Linked DNA regions of Canis lupus familiaris. Each later gene encodes a partner of the first gene's protein in a complex. Links are inferred from orthologs where the notes say so. Each region holds a gene or a part of one and is shown on either strand. Other genes may lie near its edges. The genes, in order: CBLL1, METTL14, WTAP and RBM15.

Region 1 (4,075 bases):
CCAGGTTGGGTGCAGAGCTTACTTTAAAAATAAAATCTTTTAAAAACAGAAAAGGAGCAGCAGGGATATCTGAGTAGGAACTAATTTTTTAAGTGGTCAGATCATTTGTGAATATTTTCATGCCAGGATGACTCTTACTTTCTGGTCAACATTTTAACTTGGAGAACTAGGATAATACTCAGAGACACACCCAGCCACACTACAACTTCCTAACATACTATCCTCTAAACTGTGGAAGGCGCTTCACTCTCAATTCTAGTAAGGGGCTGTAATGAGAAGTGTTTTGCTGAAGTTGCATGTTTACTACTCTAACACCAAGGTCCCAGATCTCAATTCTACAAAATTTCCAAAACCAGAGTTCCTTACAGCCCGGTTCTTGGCCCTCTTCTTCTCTGTATTCTTGTTCTTTGAGTGATCTCATCCATCCCCATTCCTTAAAACAACAGCTACCTGCTCATAAGTCTCAAATACATATTTTTCAACCCAGATCTTTCCTCTGATCTCCACTTGACATCTCCCCTTATATATCCTCGTACACAGCTCATCCTTTGCAGCCAAAAATCTCATTCTCAAGTTCCCAAGTCTCCCTTTACCACTTAAAAAAAAGACGTCTGTTTTCCTCCCAAGTTTTCCCCAACTTAGTAACGGGCACTGCCTAGCTGCTCAAACCAGAAAGGTAGTCATCTCTCCTTTCTCTCACAAAGCTCCTATTTGAATTCCACCACAACATTCGATATGCCCACTCCCCTTTTCTTTAAACCGAACCAACTTCATTACCGAGCCTCTCTTAGTGTTCTACTGCAATCACCATCTAAACTATTTTCTATCAGTCTTGTCTCTCACACCATTCTCCACAAACAAGTTACTGTGTTTTTAAAAGAAATTATGTTCCTCCTGTACTCCTGCTCAATGGCTTCAGGGATCCCCAGGTGGCTCAGCAGTTTGGCACCTGCCTTCAGCCCAGGGCGTGATCCTGGAGTCCCAGGATTGAGTCTCACATCGGGCTCCCTGCATGGAGCCTGCTTCTCCCTCAGCCTGTGCCTCTGCCTCTCTGTCTCTCATGAATAAATAAATAAAATCTTTAAAAAATAAAATAAAATCTTTACCACGGCCTTCAAAGTCCTGTACCATCTGACTCCCACCGTCCCTTCCAATCTCTTAGGGCTCATTGCTTCTTGCTAAGCTGTAGCTGACTGACCTCTACGTTTTCCTTCCTCAGAGTCTTCATATTTGCTAGACACGCTTTACTCCTGATTAATTCCATGCAGGGATTCTTCTCATCTATCATATCTCAGCTTAGAAATCCAGAAAGACCCTCCCTGACCACTCTCTCTGAAGCCTCCTCCTTTAGTCTTTACCACAGACGCTGTTAATTTTTTTTCCAAGCGCTCATCATGATCTGTAATGCTTAGGTTAAAAAACAACAACAACAACAAAAACTTCTCTATCGTGTCTTTCCCAACAGAATGTAATCTCCATGAGGCCAGGAACGCAGTTGGCCTGGTTTCCAAGTCCATCATTCCCTCTCTAGGCATACTGGGGTCTGGCATAGGTTTTGCTGACTAGCACTCACTAAATTTTATAGACAGAAATAATTTTACGCCTATATGTACAAAATTAAGTAGGCATTTGATGACTGAGAACACCTTACCCAATACTTAATACAAGAAGTATCCTTTTATCCTACTTAGGATATGGCTGATGGAACCACACGGAACAGCAGCCCCAGGTTCACTCACTCACTATCCAAAAGCCACGATGAAAAAAAAAAAGCCAAACAACACACAACGAAGAGCGGAGTCCTTCTTACTTGGAGAAAGAGATGCGGGTATCTTGAATTTAAGCTCTCCTTTGTAAACGCCCCCGAAAGAGGAGTAAGGACCACAGCCGAAGCGCGGAGCAGGCTTTGGGCTCAGACAGAAAAGCCGGTCCGAGCAGGATTCCGAAAACTCTCACCTGGCTCCCCGCTCCGCCTCGGGTCCACGAAGGACCGGCAGCGCCCCCCGCAGCGCCCGCCCGCAGCCCCCTCCCGCGCCCCGACCCTGAGCCTGGAGTCTGCCCGCCGGCACCCGAAACGCAGAGCGGGGCACCACGGTTTAAAAAGAAAAAAAAAAAAAAAAAAGGAGGCAGCGCGCCCCGGTCCCCACGAGGCCGCGCCGCCCACCGTGCGGGCGGGGAGCTCCGCAGCACCAGAGCGGCGGCTGCTGCCGGCACCGAGGCTGTAGGTACCACACCGGAGGGTAGGCCGGGAAACGGCAGGCCCTTGCCGGGCACCGGGAGGGGTCTGTGGGATTTCTCTCTCACCGCCACCCCCCAGCGCTGCAGGGCGAGCGCATCCCCGCTCCGCCCGCCGGGCAGCCAGTCCCAGGCCGGCCGAGGGGGCATGGACCCGGGACCCCCGCTGCCTCCGCCTCCTTACCAGTGTGATCCATGATTCGGCTCGCGGGGCACAGTGGGAGCGGAAGTCAACCGCGCCGGAGTCGCAGGGCGCGCGTGCGCGCTCCCTTCCGGAGCCCGCGAGGCGGAAGTGCGACCGAGCTGCCTCGGCTTGGGCCTCCTCAGGTTCCCCTCTGTCGGGTGGGTGCACTACCCAACTCCGGTGAGGGCGTCTGGCATAGTTCGAGGGAGACAAAGGGGGGTACGCCAAGAGCTTCCAGGTCGAAGGTGCTAAGCCTTGACTACAGAAATGAGACCCGAGGGCACGGGGGAACGGGGAGAGCACCAGCAGCCGGTGGAACGAACTCGCGGCAGGTAAGGCGGCTGCTCGCCCCCGCGGAGCGTTGCCTTCTGGGACTTGTAGTGCGCGGCGGCCTCGGAGCCGGCCGGGCGCAACTGCGCAGACTCGGCCGTTGGGCTTGGCCCCACCCCGGCGGGCGGAGTAACGGTTTGGAATGGCCCGCAGTGCGCGCGCGCCGGCGTCCTCCGCGCGGGGCGGGGGGGGGGGGCGTGCGGGGAGCGGGGGGGGTGCGTAGCCGCGCGCGCTCCGGAAGGCGTCCTCGGCGGGAGGTTGCCCGGGGGACGGCCGCGCCGTGGGAGCGGGGAGGGCTCTCGGCGTGCGGTCTCCATCCCGCCCCGTCCTGGCGGGCCCCGCGGAGCGCACGTGGTACCGGCCCGTGCTCCCACCGAGGAGGTGTGGTAGCGGCGGAGACGCAGCAAGGCGCCCCGCGCGCCCCTCCGCGGGGTGGGGGTGGGGGCGGGGCGGGGCCGCCCGGCGGGGGAGCGGGGGAGCGCGGGGAGCGCGGGGCCCGGGGGGAGGGGCAGCGGGGCGGTACCTAGCTCCAGCTCCTGGTCGCCGGGGGTCGCGGCCGCGGCTGCCTTCATCGTCCCCGGCCAGCGCCGCGGAGTGGGTCCGGGGGCCCCTGAGCGAGGCGGCGGCGGCCTCGCCGACCGGGCTCCGGGTGTGCGCTCCCTTCTCCGACCCTTCGCACCTGGTGCTCTCGGAGGAGTGGGAAGGAGCGCACGATTAAGGAGAAAACACGAGCCTGGGAGCCCAGGGATTTGGGTTCTATTCCTGTCGTCCCTTGGTGACGACATCGTTACCTTGGGTGGTTCACGCTTTCCGTGCCAGAGTTCCTGGATCGATAGAAGAAGATGATGATGATGATTCTCCTGCCCTCCTCCCAGGAGCGTTCTCCGGCCCCGAATCCTGGAGGGAGCGCGTGCGGCGGTGCGCTGGGCCGGTAGTGCTGCAGCGACATCGGCGTGGAGTCCTCGGGAGCGGAACCTTGAGTGCTCCGCGCTCGCCGGTGGATGGAGGTTCTCCTGGGGCCTTTAAAGATTGTACTTGTTCATGAGACACAGAGAGAGAGACCTAGGCAGAGGGAGAAGCAGGCTCCCTGCAGGGGACCCCCCCACACACCCTAAGATCACGACCTGAGCCAAAGCAAAGGCAGATGCTCAACCACCCGAACCAGCCAGGTGCCCCTTCCTGGGGTCTTGAAATACACTTCCCCGCGGCATCTGAAGCTTCCTAAACAAGTTTTTCGGTACAGTTACAGCCAAGGGGAATTGTGAATCAGACTTAACCCTTGCTTTTGTTGAAAGGTAAATTTCTGTATCACTAAGTGGTTTCCAA
Region 2 (3,081 bases), on another chromosome or scaffold:
AAATAAAATCTTTAAAAAAAAAAAAAAAAAAAAAAAAACGCGGGTAGCCCTGGTGGCACAGCGGTTTGGCGCTGCCTGCAGCCTGGGGTGTGATCCTGGGGACCTGGGATCGAGTCCCACATCGGGCTCCCTGCATGGAGCCTGCTTCTCCCTCTCCCTCTGCCTGTGTCTCTGCCTCTCTCTCTCTGTCTATGAATGAATAAATAAAATCTTAAAAAAAAAAAAAGGCATCAAATGGTATTTGTACTAGAAAGAACGAACAGGTTGAGCAAGTTAAATTCATCAGGCTTTTAAGGATCTCAACCCTATTTCTATAATTCAGCCCTAATCTTCAAACTGAGTCTTCAGTGCATGTAATATAATCTTATTTTAGGTATAATATGAGCCAATGACAAGTTGAGAATGGCTACTAAAATGCTCACAGATCAAAACAGGAGTGATCTTAAGTCAGTCCTTTTTCATTAGGTTAACAAAGGCAATTTCACTTACAGAAAACAGACTCCCACATTTCAAAGGTTTAAAGTTTCATTAGAAAAATCATACACCAAATAAAAATATATTTTTCAAGAATAAGGGTATTTCATTCATCAGATTCATTTAAAACATGAATTATAGTACAGAGAGAAAAATGACAGCATTAAGTTTTATACAACCAACTGATCTGCAAAACCAGGCTCTTAAAAACAACACACCATATGGTTTTAATAAAAGGCAATTGCAATTCTGTTTTCTAAGCTGTCTTAATTTGAGTTTTCTGTAATTGATTTTTATATTGTTTTCTCCATAACAAGTTCAAAGATATCACTTCCTCACCACCAAGTACTTTATTTTCCAAAACACCTGATAACCAGGTGTCTCTGTTGTTGCCTAATTTCTTTTACTTTGCTAAGGAATATGAAACTGTTTTGAAAGTCAATCCAAGTTCAAGTCTACACCAAAGGTCTAGCACTTGGATATTTGTCCTTTGCTTCTGAAGAAGTGTGATTAACAGTCATCTGGAACTATGCAACTCAAATTATGATGAGCTTTTTCTCTTTAAGGCTACCTACTAAATTCTTCCTCTGCCCACTGCTGGGAGTGCCAACCTCCTCTAACAGATTTAGATTTGGGAGGTGATTTTGTTCAAATTCTCTCAATTTCTCAGTGGTAGTCATATCTGAGTTTAAGATTTTTTAAAAAGAAGTCTCTTTTTATTGTTTCACCAAGAAAATATTAAAACTTTGACAGAAGTTAACCATCTGTCCCAACTCCATTCTCTCAAGGCTCCCAAACAGCTTTCTATTTACTATGACAGCAATGGCAGGATGCCTATTATCAAATGCTCTTGGCACTAGTAGCATACTACAGACTGGGTCTTTTTCACTGTTCAGTTAAATTATTTCTAAAAAGCAAAAGACTTTGTAATTAGTTGGAATCTATCAGAATAAATTAGTCTCTGAAAGGAAGGTATTTGTTCATTATTCAGTTACATGCACATAACCAAAGGCAGGATGATTTGTTTATCCTGGACAAGACTACACAATGTGTGTAATGACTGCAAGGGAGATTGGCTAAAATATTCCTGCAGCTCAAAGAAACTAAAGCAAAATGCAAGCTGGAATTGAGTACTAAACAAAGCCTCCCATTTGGAATTTAAACTACGGTAAAGAAGGTATAGGGGCATGAATAGATCACGGTCTTACAAAGTTATCGAGGTGGAAAGCCACCTCTGTGTGCTCCTCCACGGCCCCCCCTAAAGCCACCTCTTTCGCCTCGGAAGTTAGATCGATTTCTTTCTCGTCCACGGCCAGCAGAAGTTCCACCTCTTCCTCCACCCCTGGGAGCTCCACCTCCCCGATCAGACTTAGATTTGGGAGGAGGTGATTTTGGTCGAAGTCTCTCAATTTCTTCTGTACATCCAGTCAAGTAGGAATTAGGAGCACTAAAGTAGGATGCATATGTTTCTGCATTATAGTTGCTATTTGTAAGGGTTGGTCCAACTGTAAGCCAGCCTGAAATAGACGGAAAGAAAGATTATCTTTTTTCCCCCTCATTTCTCTTACTGATCCTTTCGGAGCTACTTCAAATTTCTAAAGTATTTTTAAAGTTCCCCCTATCACTCACTCAATATTTATCTTTTTTACAACACATGGCATTTAATCATGGTTATACAGATTTCATATGTATATATCTTATTTCACCTGCATGATTGTAACTTTGTAATATATCTTCCTCATTGTCTCCATCCATGTTTCACATTTTGTAAGACTAGCACTTAGAAAAAACATTACACACTACAGTGAGTTTGGGCTCAGTGAAAATGTAATAAACTTCGCTTACCTTCCTACTTGGGAAAATAATACCATTGTTTTCTGATTAAGATCCTGGAACCAACTTTGCCTCTACTCTTCCGAACCACAACATTAACCCTGCTGACAGGTGCCAGAAATTCAACCACTACCATGTTGCTCCTATTCATTCCCATTTTTCCATGTCTATTGCCACCCTCAAATGTGAGCCTTTATTTTTCTACTAGGCCAGCCTCCTGTACATGTCACAGACACACATACATATTGTAATGCTCTCCCAGCCTCTCCTCCCTGAAAGTGGAAAGCCTAAAACAAACCTTAAAATATGTCACTTCTCTGCGTAACCTTCTAGGGCTCTCCACAAAGCACAGATTCATGTATATGTTATCTAAGGTCTTTTATGATGCAGCTTGAAATAACTTTCTTTTAAAAAAATTATTTATTTATTTATTTATTCATGAGAGACACACAGAGAGAAGCAGAGGCATAGGCAGGGGGAGAAGCAGGATCCTCACAGGGAGCCTACTGCGGGACTTGATCTCAGACTCCGGGATCATACCCTGAGCCTAAGGCAGATGCTCAACTGCTGAGCTACCCAGGTGTCCCATTGAACTACCTTTCCAGTCACATTTCTCATTAATGCCTTTCATGACAATTTCATTTGAGTTAAAAAAAAAAGTTATCACTATAGTATCTATTTCCGTACAAATCTCTACCTCTGAAAAAAAACACAACAAAAAACAAAAATTCCATCTGTTTGTTCGATCCTTTCAACCTATTGAAAATTACATCC
Region 3 (2,413 bases), on another chromosome or scaffold:
TGAGTCAAGGAATGAGAATCATTTATAAAATGCTCTCCTTTTAAGACTGAAGGCTTACAATAGGTTCAGATGCATTCTGAAGTAATACATCAGGCAAGTGAAAGCCCCAATAAATGGAGGAAAGAACAGAAAGTGTCAGCAAAAAATTTTTTTGACTGGTTAGATCTTTCTGAATGTTAACACCATCATGAGGATATCAGACTGTCCCTGGTGGAGTGTGCAACTCGATCTTGGGGTCGTGAGTTCAAGGACCACTTTGGATATAGAACCTACTTAAATACACTTTAAAAAAATACCAGGCTGTCCCTATTCAAGTATCAGGTAACCTCACAATTATGTGCTTAAATCAGATCCCTTTAAAAGTGATCATTTCTCTTATTACTTATTGAGGCTAAAGAAGTTGTTTTATTGAGAACTGTTGTTAAGACTGATTACATTTTTGCACTTGCTGTGTATGTGTGTGTACACACTTTAGAAGATTGCACTAATACTTGGTAACTAATTTGTGGAAAGTTTGGTGCTCCCAATATCTGCTCCCGTGCAGATACTTAAATATTTGCATTATTTGTAATAACCCAAATCTCACTTTTCTAAAGATAATCTTTTGTAACATGAATAAAATCTTAACCACGTATTGATATTAAATTTTTAAAAACTTGTTACCATTACGACAGCTTAAAGCTTAAAAAAGTTAAATTAGAGCTTAGTGGATAGAAATAGTCTAAAGGCTCTTTTTTAAAAGGCTCTTTAGGGATGCCTGGCTGGCTCAGTCAGTAGAGCATGCCACTCTTGATCTTAGTTAGGGTTATGAGTTCAAACCCCATGTTGAATGTATAGATTGCTTAAAAAAAAAATCTATTAAAAGTTTCTAAAAACAATTACTGAGTATATGCCTCACTGCAATAAACATCCTTCTGAGAACTGCCTATGAATAGGCACTCTTATAAAATGCTGCTTTAGCAAAAATAAATATATTCTATGTTATCACATTTACCTTTTTAAGAACTTTTCTGTTCCATGAAACTGAGTACCTTAGTGTTTTATTAATACTGGTATATATGAGGCTTGCCTTAATTAACTGGCTTGTTTCCATTTCAAATAATAATTAGGGGTGAAAATAGAGATCAGAATCCTTATTAGTGTAATAGAAAATGTGGCCATTTGGGTACTTTTTGTTTAGGGTTTATTTTTGCTGCTGTATTGGCAAAATACTGAAATGCAGAAGATGGACGTGTTCCAGGACAGAAGATGGTAATTATAGGGGAGGCATCTGCCGTGACAGTTATATTCTGTACGTGTTACATCTATTGCTGTAATAATTGCAAGCAAACAAGGTTATAGACACTTGTCTTCATTTTGTGATGGATGGCTCTTTCCTTTGCAGCCAAACAGGCAAAAAGTTAATGGCGAAGTGTCGAATGCTTATCCAGGAGAATCAAGAGCTTGGAAGGCAGCTGTCCCAGGGACGTATTGCACAACTTGAAGCAGAGTTGGCTTTACAGAAGAAATATAGTGAGGAGCTTAAAAGCAGTCAGGATGGTAAGGGGTTTTTTGAAAAGTTTGATTAACTTTGCACTGGCTTTTAAAAAGTTGCCAGGCATGAATATTACAGATTAGATTCTGTATGTACTAATTTGTGCTGATGATTCTATAAAATTATTAATGGAACATTTCTAGTTGAGTCAGCAAAGCCATTTTAGTGCCCCCCCTCCCCCCCCCCCCCCGCGACTTTCTTGTTTATTGTGCAAATTTCATAAGTTTTTGGATTTTTGGGGGAGGTGCAATTTGGTGAAAGAAGGCACTGCATACATATACACATTTATATTCAATATTTAAAAGGGATTATCTCCATTTAATCACTTTCCAAGTGTAAATCTTGGCAGTATTTGGCTATTTCTTGTGGTCTAGAAATCAGAATTGATTGTACCTGTTAAGGTCCTATTGAGTGAATAAGATGTGATATTTATTTATTTATTATTTAAGATTTTATTTATTTATTCATGGAAGACACAGAGAGAGAAGCAGAGACACAGGCAGAGAGAGAAGCAGGCTCCATGCAGGGAACCCGACGTGGGCCTTGATCCCGGGTCTCCAGGATCACATCCTGGGCTGAAGGCAGCTCTAAACCGCTGAGCCACCAGGGCTGCCTCAAGATGTGATATTTAAATTTGTTCAAGATAAACTGAATTTAATTGTCAGCTGCTTCCTCCGCCCACCCCACCCGCCTTTTCTTGGGCAAGTGTAACTGAATTTGAGGAAGATGATTAGTAACTAAAATACCTGAACTCTGGAAATTAAATTGAAAATGAATATATTTGACAATTGTAAAGATCGGTTAGAATACCTTTTAAAGTACCTTTTCAAAGTGATAGTTGTTAGCTCTTACTATATGTAAACATAGTGACTAGGAGAT
Region 4 (4,000 bases), on another chromosome or scaffold:
GAGTGATCTTGAGCTGGGCTACTTTGCCTCCAGTTGAGCCCTCCACAAGAAGACTACTAGCCACTTGGAGGTCACCCTGCAACAGATGCATGTTGGAAGGAAAGTTGCTGTTCTTCAATAGAAGCATGCCCTGCCAGGCCAAACAGAGCTTGGGAGAGGCTGCAGTGGTGGGGGCTGTCCCACCATCCTGTTTCTGGGAAGGGGACTTCAGCTTTGAGGAAGCAGTGCTGGTGCTAGGCGCACTCCCATCAGACCGGTCTTCTTTTTTCAGAGGGCTTTTTCCCTCAGTGGGAGCAGTTGTCCGGTGCTTTCTATCCCGTTCAGCTGATGCAGAGTTTTTACGGTCTCGCTTGTCACCCTGGCTCTTCTCCAAACTTCCTCGCCTGTCTCTGACTGGAGAGGGCCTTTCCAAGATAAGAAGACGAGAAGATCGATCATTGTCACTGTTGTAGCGATCCCGGCTACTGCTCAATTCCGGGCTGCGGTCGGGAGAAGGAGCACAGTGACGTTTTCGGGGACGGTCACTCTCAGGGGACCTATCCAGGTGCCGGCCCCCACTCTCCTCGGGCGGCCTTCGCTTCCTAGGCTGGTCTCTGCTGCTGGGCAGATCTCGCTCACCTCTGTCCCGGTCCAAGGACCAGCCATCTCGCCTGCGATCCAGGCTATCCAGGGGCTCGTAAGCAGGCACAGCAGCAGCTGCAGTCCTAGTGCTGCGTTCACGAACTGGGGGCGGGGGTGGCACCCAGTCAGAGTCAGGATAAAGGTCTCTGTCACGATCTCTGTAGAGTAAGGGTGGTGTCCTATCCCGAGCACCCCTCAAAGGGTCAGGTGCCCGATGTCCAAAAGCATCTGTCACCAACTCGTAATGAGTTAAGGGCAAAGGCTGCAGATACTGCTGCTGGTAACGATGTTCTGTATCTGCAAAGTCTACTCTAAGGCGACGATCTGGGCCACCAAGTGGGAAGCCACGCATATGGGTCCAGGCAGCATGAGCTGCATCCAGGCTTTCATACTGGATATATGCCCAACTATCACCTTTGCGGTAGTCTATAGTGCGGATGGTGCCAAATCGGTCAAACTCTCGTGCCAGGGCAGCAAGAGGCACCCAAGGTCCCAGACCACCTACCCAGAGGCGAGTGGTGGGTGTAGCTTTACCATAACCAATTTTGATAGGATTCCGAATAATGATCTTGCCAGACATTGCTAGTTTGGCCCGGTGAGACATGTCTAGGTTCTCAAATTTAAGGAAGCCATAGGTACTGGTCTGGCCCCGAGAGGGCCTCTTGATATCTACCTCTGTGATGACTCCAAAGCGGTCAAAAGCCCTTCTTAGGTCACTCTCTGTCACAGTGATGTCTAGGTTGCCCAAGAAAAGCGTCCGGTTAGCTCGCTGATCGTCCTCGGGTGAGATCTCATCCACTTCTCGGAAAGGAGCAGCACCTGCTCCAGCTCCCACCCTGGGCTCCAGGCTGTACGCCGGGCGCACTCTCTCATAGAACGGATAGTCTCGCTCTCTCTCCAGCTCACGGGGCAACGGTGGCGGAGGCGGGGGGGGCAGGCGGCCAAGAGCCAGCTGCTGCAACCGGTAGTCTCGGTACCCCAGGGCCGCGCCACCAGGGGAAAGCGATCTCTGGCCGCCGCCTCCAGGGGGGTGCCGGTGTCCGCCCACGGAGGCGCCCACCACGCCAGCCGACGGCGGGTAGGGATCCTTGTCTAAGGGGGAGCGGCTGCGGCGGCGGCTCACGTACACCGCCTCGATCTTCAGCGGCCGGTCATAGAGCACCAGGCGGCCTCTGGCATGCTTGGCCGCCCGCGCGTCCTCTGGCCGCCGGAAGTTCACAAAGGCTACTCGCTCATCCCCGCTGCCAGAGCCCGAGAGATGACTGATTTTGACACTTACATCACCGAAGCGCTTGAACTCGTGAAACAGTCCGTCCTCCACCGCCTCGTCACTCAGCTGGGACCCCAACTCGCTGATCTTCAGCGTCTTGTACTCCGCGCCGTCCCCAACGCCGGGAGCTGAGGAGGCGGCCCCGGAGGAACGTGACTCCCCGCCTCCACCCCGGGAGCTGCTGCGCGACTCGCCCCCGCCCGAGGAATTTTTGGTGCTCGGGGAGCTGTAACTGTGCAGGCGGCCACTGGAGCTGCCCCCGCCGGTGTCATACTCGCGGCTGCCGCCTCGGCTGCTGGACTTGTCCAGGTGGAGGCTGCGCCGCGACCCGCCGCCGCTGTCGGTCTTTCCGCTGCTACTCCCATTGCTGCCACCAGAGCCCCCTAACTTCTTGCTCCGCTCCCCGCGGGAAGTCGAGTCCTCACCACCGCGGGAGCGTTTGGGCTTGACCGGAGAGCGCTCCTTCCCCTTCATTGTTGCGGGTCGCCGGAGGTCGTCTCCGCGGAGATGCTGAGCCCGCCGCCCCGCGCTCGTTTCACACAGCGGAACCGCACGCCGCCATCTTGGACTCCGCCGCGGCAGAGGCTCCCGCCCCGCGGCCCTCATTGGTCAGCTGGCTCCTCTCTGCTACAGGCTCATTGGGAAAACGTCCCGTCCGTCTTCACATCTCCCCGCGCTCCGGAAAGGCGCCCGCCCGCCCGCTGTTATTGGGCTCCCAACGCCCGGGTCCGAGTACCTCATTGGTCGTATTTGTTGTCCATCTTAACGGCTCCTCGCGCCAGGCCGCAGCTCCGCCCCTCGCACTGTAGGGTCACCTGACCCAAACTCGGGAGGCGCTGATTGGGCGAAAAGTCTGCCCTGTAACGGTACTTCTGGCGCGGTAAAAGCGGTGATCCCACCTCCTCATTCCTTTCATTGGTTTCCGACCCCGTCCTTTAACTCACTATTTGGGAAGTCGGGCCATCTGTTCTGGCGCTTTTCCTGAGAGGCCCGCTTACAACATTCTCGCGAGAGACAGAAAGCGCTCCCTTTCTCGACCTCTTCTTCCAACTCCTCGGACGGCTGTAAGAAGTTTAAATCTGATTGGATGCTGACGAGGGAGTTGATAGGCTGAAATAGCTGTCCGTCATCCGCTTAAAGGGGCAGGCCGTACACGGAGGAGGCTGACTGAAGGTGAAAGAGCGGACCGCGCGCTCGCCGTGCGGCGTCACCGGGACGTCGCGAGAGGCTGACACGGCGCTGGCTCCGCCCCCGGCCGCTCGCGGCGTTCCGTCCACGGGCATTTACGGGGCACTTATGGGGTCCCGCGGCGTCCGTGGGTGTGCCTGGGCCGCCCGCTCGGGGCCTGTGCGGGGACCGAGCCCTCGGGGCGCGGTCCCCAGGAGGCCGGCCGCGGCAGCCGGAGAGCGCCGCAGGCCGTGGGGCTCGCCCGGGCCGGCCTCCTGGGCGCTCCCCGCCGCCCGGCGACGTCGGTCGGTTCGCTCTTCCTACGTCGCGCCCCGTCACCGGGCGAGGGCCGACGTCCGCGTGCAGCCGTGGGCGTGCGCCCCGCGGCTCCTCGCGCCGCCTCGCCGACCCCCCGGGGCCCGCCCGTCGTGAGGTGAGTCCGGCAGCCGGAGCAGGTGCTCGGGCGTCGGGGGAGGGGGGGAGGGGGGGCCAGGAAGCCCGGGCCGGCCCTCCCCGCCGCCTACCCGCCTACCCCGAGGCCCTTCTCGGGGGACACGGCTGTTGCCCGAACCCGAGCTTGGGAGCCGCGTCAGGGCCGGGGCTGCAGAGTCCGGCTCTGCCTTCGCCCCCCTTCCCCGCATGACGTCGAGGGAAGCGATAGGGATTTCGCTTCTTGCTCGGATGGAGGAAGCCTGGTGTGAGGACGTCGCGGCAGCGGGCGCACGCTCCCCCGCGTGCCAGGACCAGCTGCCAAAGCCCGCGAGTGGGCCAGGGTGTGGGACGTACTGCCGCGGGGGGTTCTCCACGGGACATGGCGGCGGCGCTGCCTGTGTTTTTGTTGATTTTTCCATAGAAACTTCACGGCGGTACTTAGGGAGTGGCCACTAAGATCGCCCTGAGACGGGGCTGGACGGTCTGGCGGGAGACTCAGCTTGTCATTGC

What was found.
Region 2: CBLL1 (region 1) and METTL14 share a complex: the UniProt entries of both Homo sapiens proteins name them as parts of the WMM complex. The link is inferred for Canis lupus familiaris from reciprocal best matches to the Homo sapiens genes CBLL1 and METTL14.
Region 3: CBLL1 (region 1) and WTAP share a complex: the UniProt entries of both Homo sapiens proteins name them as parts of the WMM complex. The link is inferred for Canis lupus familiaris from reciprocal best matches to the Homo sapiens genes CBLL1 and WTAP.
Region 4: CBLL1 (region 1) and RBM15 share a complex: the UniProt entries of both Homo sapiens proteins name them as parts of the WMM complex. The link is inferred for Canis lupus familiaris from reciprocal best matches to the Homo sapiens genes CBLL1 and RBM15.

What each region holds. Positions count from the first base shown.
Region 1 is NC_049239.1:13,103,209-13,107,283, forward strand, and holds the start of CBLL1 (E3 ubiquitin-protein ligase Hakai), read right to left. Parts: upstream 2,807-4,075; 5' UTR 2,433-2,806; coding exon 2,420-2,432; intron 2,293-2,419; exon of another isoform or gene 2,165-2,292; intron 1,975-2,164; exon of another isoform or gene 1,811-1,974; intron 1,784-1,810; exon of another isoform or gene 1,652-1,783; intron 1-1,651. UniProt on the Homo sapiens protein: E3 ubiquitin-protein ligase that mediates ubiquitination of several tyrosine-phosphorylated Src substrates, including CDH1, CTTN and DOK1. Targets CDH1 for endocytosis and degradation.
Region 2 is NC_049253.1:2,153,920-2,157,000, forward strand, and holds the end of METTL14 (N6-adenosine-methyltransferase non-catalytic subunit), read right to left. Parts: intron 1,992-3,081; coding exon 1,687-1,991; 3' UTR 508-1,686; downstream 1-507. UniProt on the Homo sapiens protein: The METTL3-METTL14 heterodimer forms a N6-methyltransferase complex that methylates adenosine residues at the N(6) position of some mRNAs and regulates the circadian clock, differentiation of embryonic stem cells and cortical neurogenesis.
Region 3 is NC_049222.1:49,504,300-49,506,712, forward strand, and holds part of WTAP (pre-mRNA-splicing regulator WTAP), read left to right. Parts: intron 1-1,384; coding exon 1,385-1,539; intron 1,540-2,413. UniProt on the Homo sapiens protein: Associated component of the WMM complex, a complex that mediates N6-methyladenosine (m6A) methylation of RNAs, a modification that plays a role in the efficiency of mRNA splicing and RNA processing.
Region 4 is NC_049227.1:42,108,043-42,112,042, forward strand, and holds the start of RBM15 (RNA-binding protein 15), read right to left. Parts: upstream 2,830-4,000; 5' UTR 2,498-2,829; coding exon 1-2,497. UniProt on the Homo sapiens protein: RNA-binding protein that acts as a key regulator of N6-methyladenosine (m6A) methylation of RNAs, thereby regulating different processes, such as hematopoietic cell homeostasis, alternative splicing of mRNAs and X chromosome inactivation mediated by Xist RNA.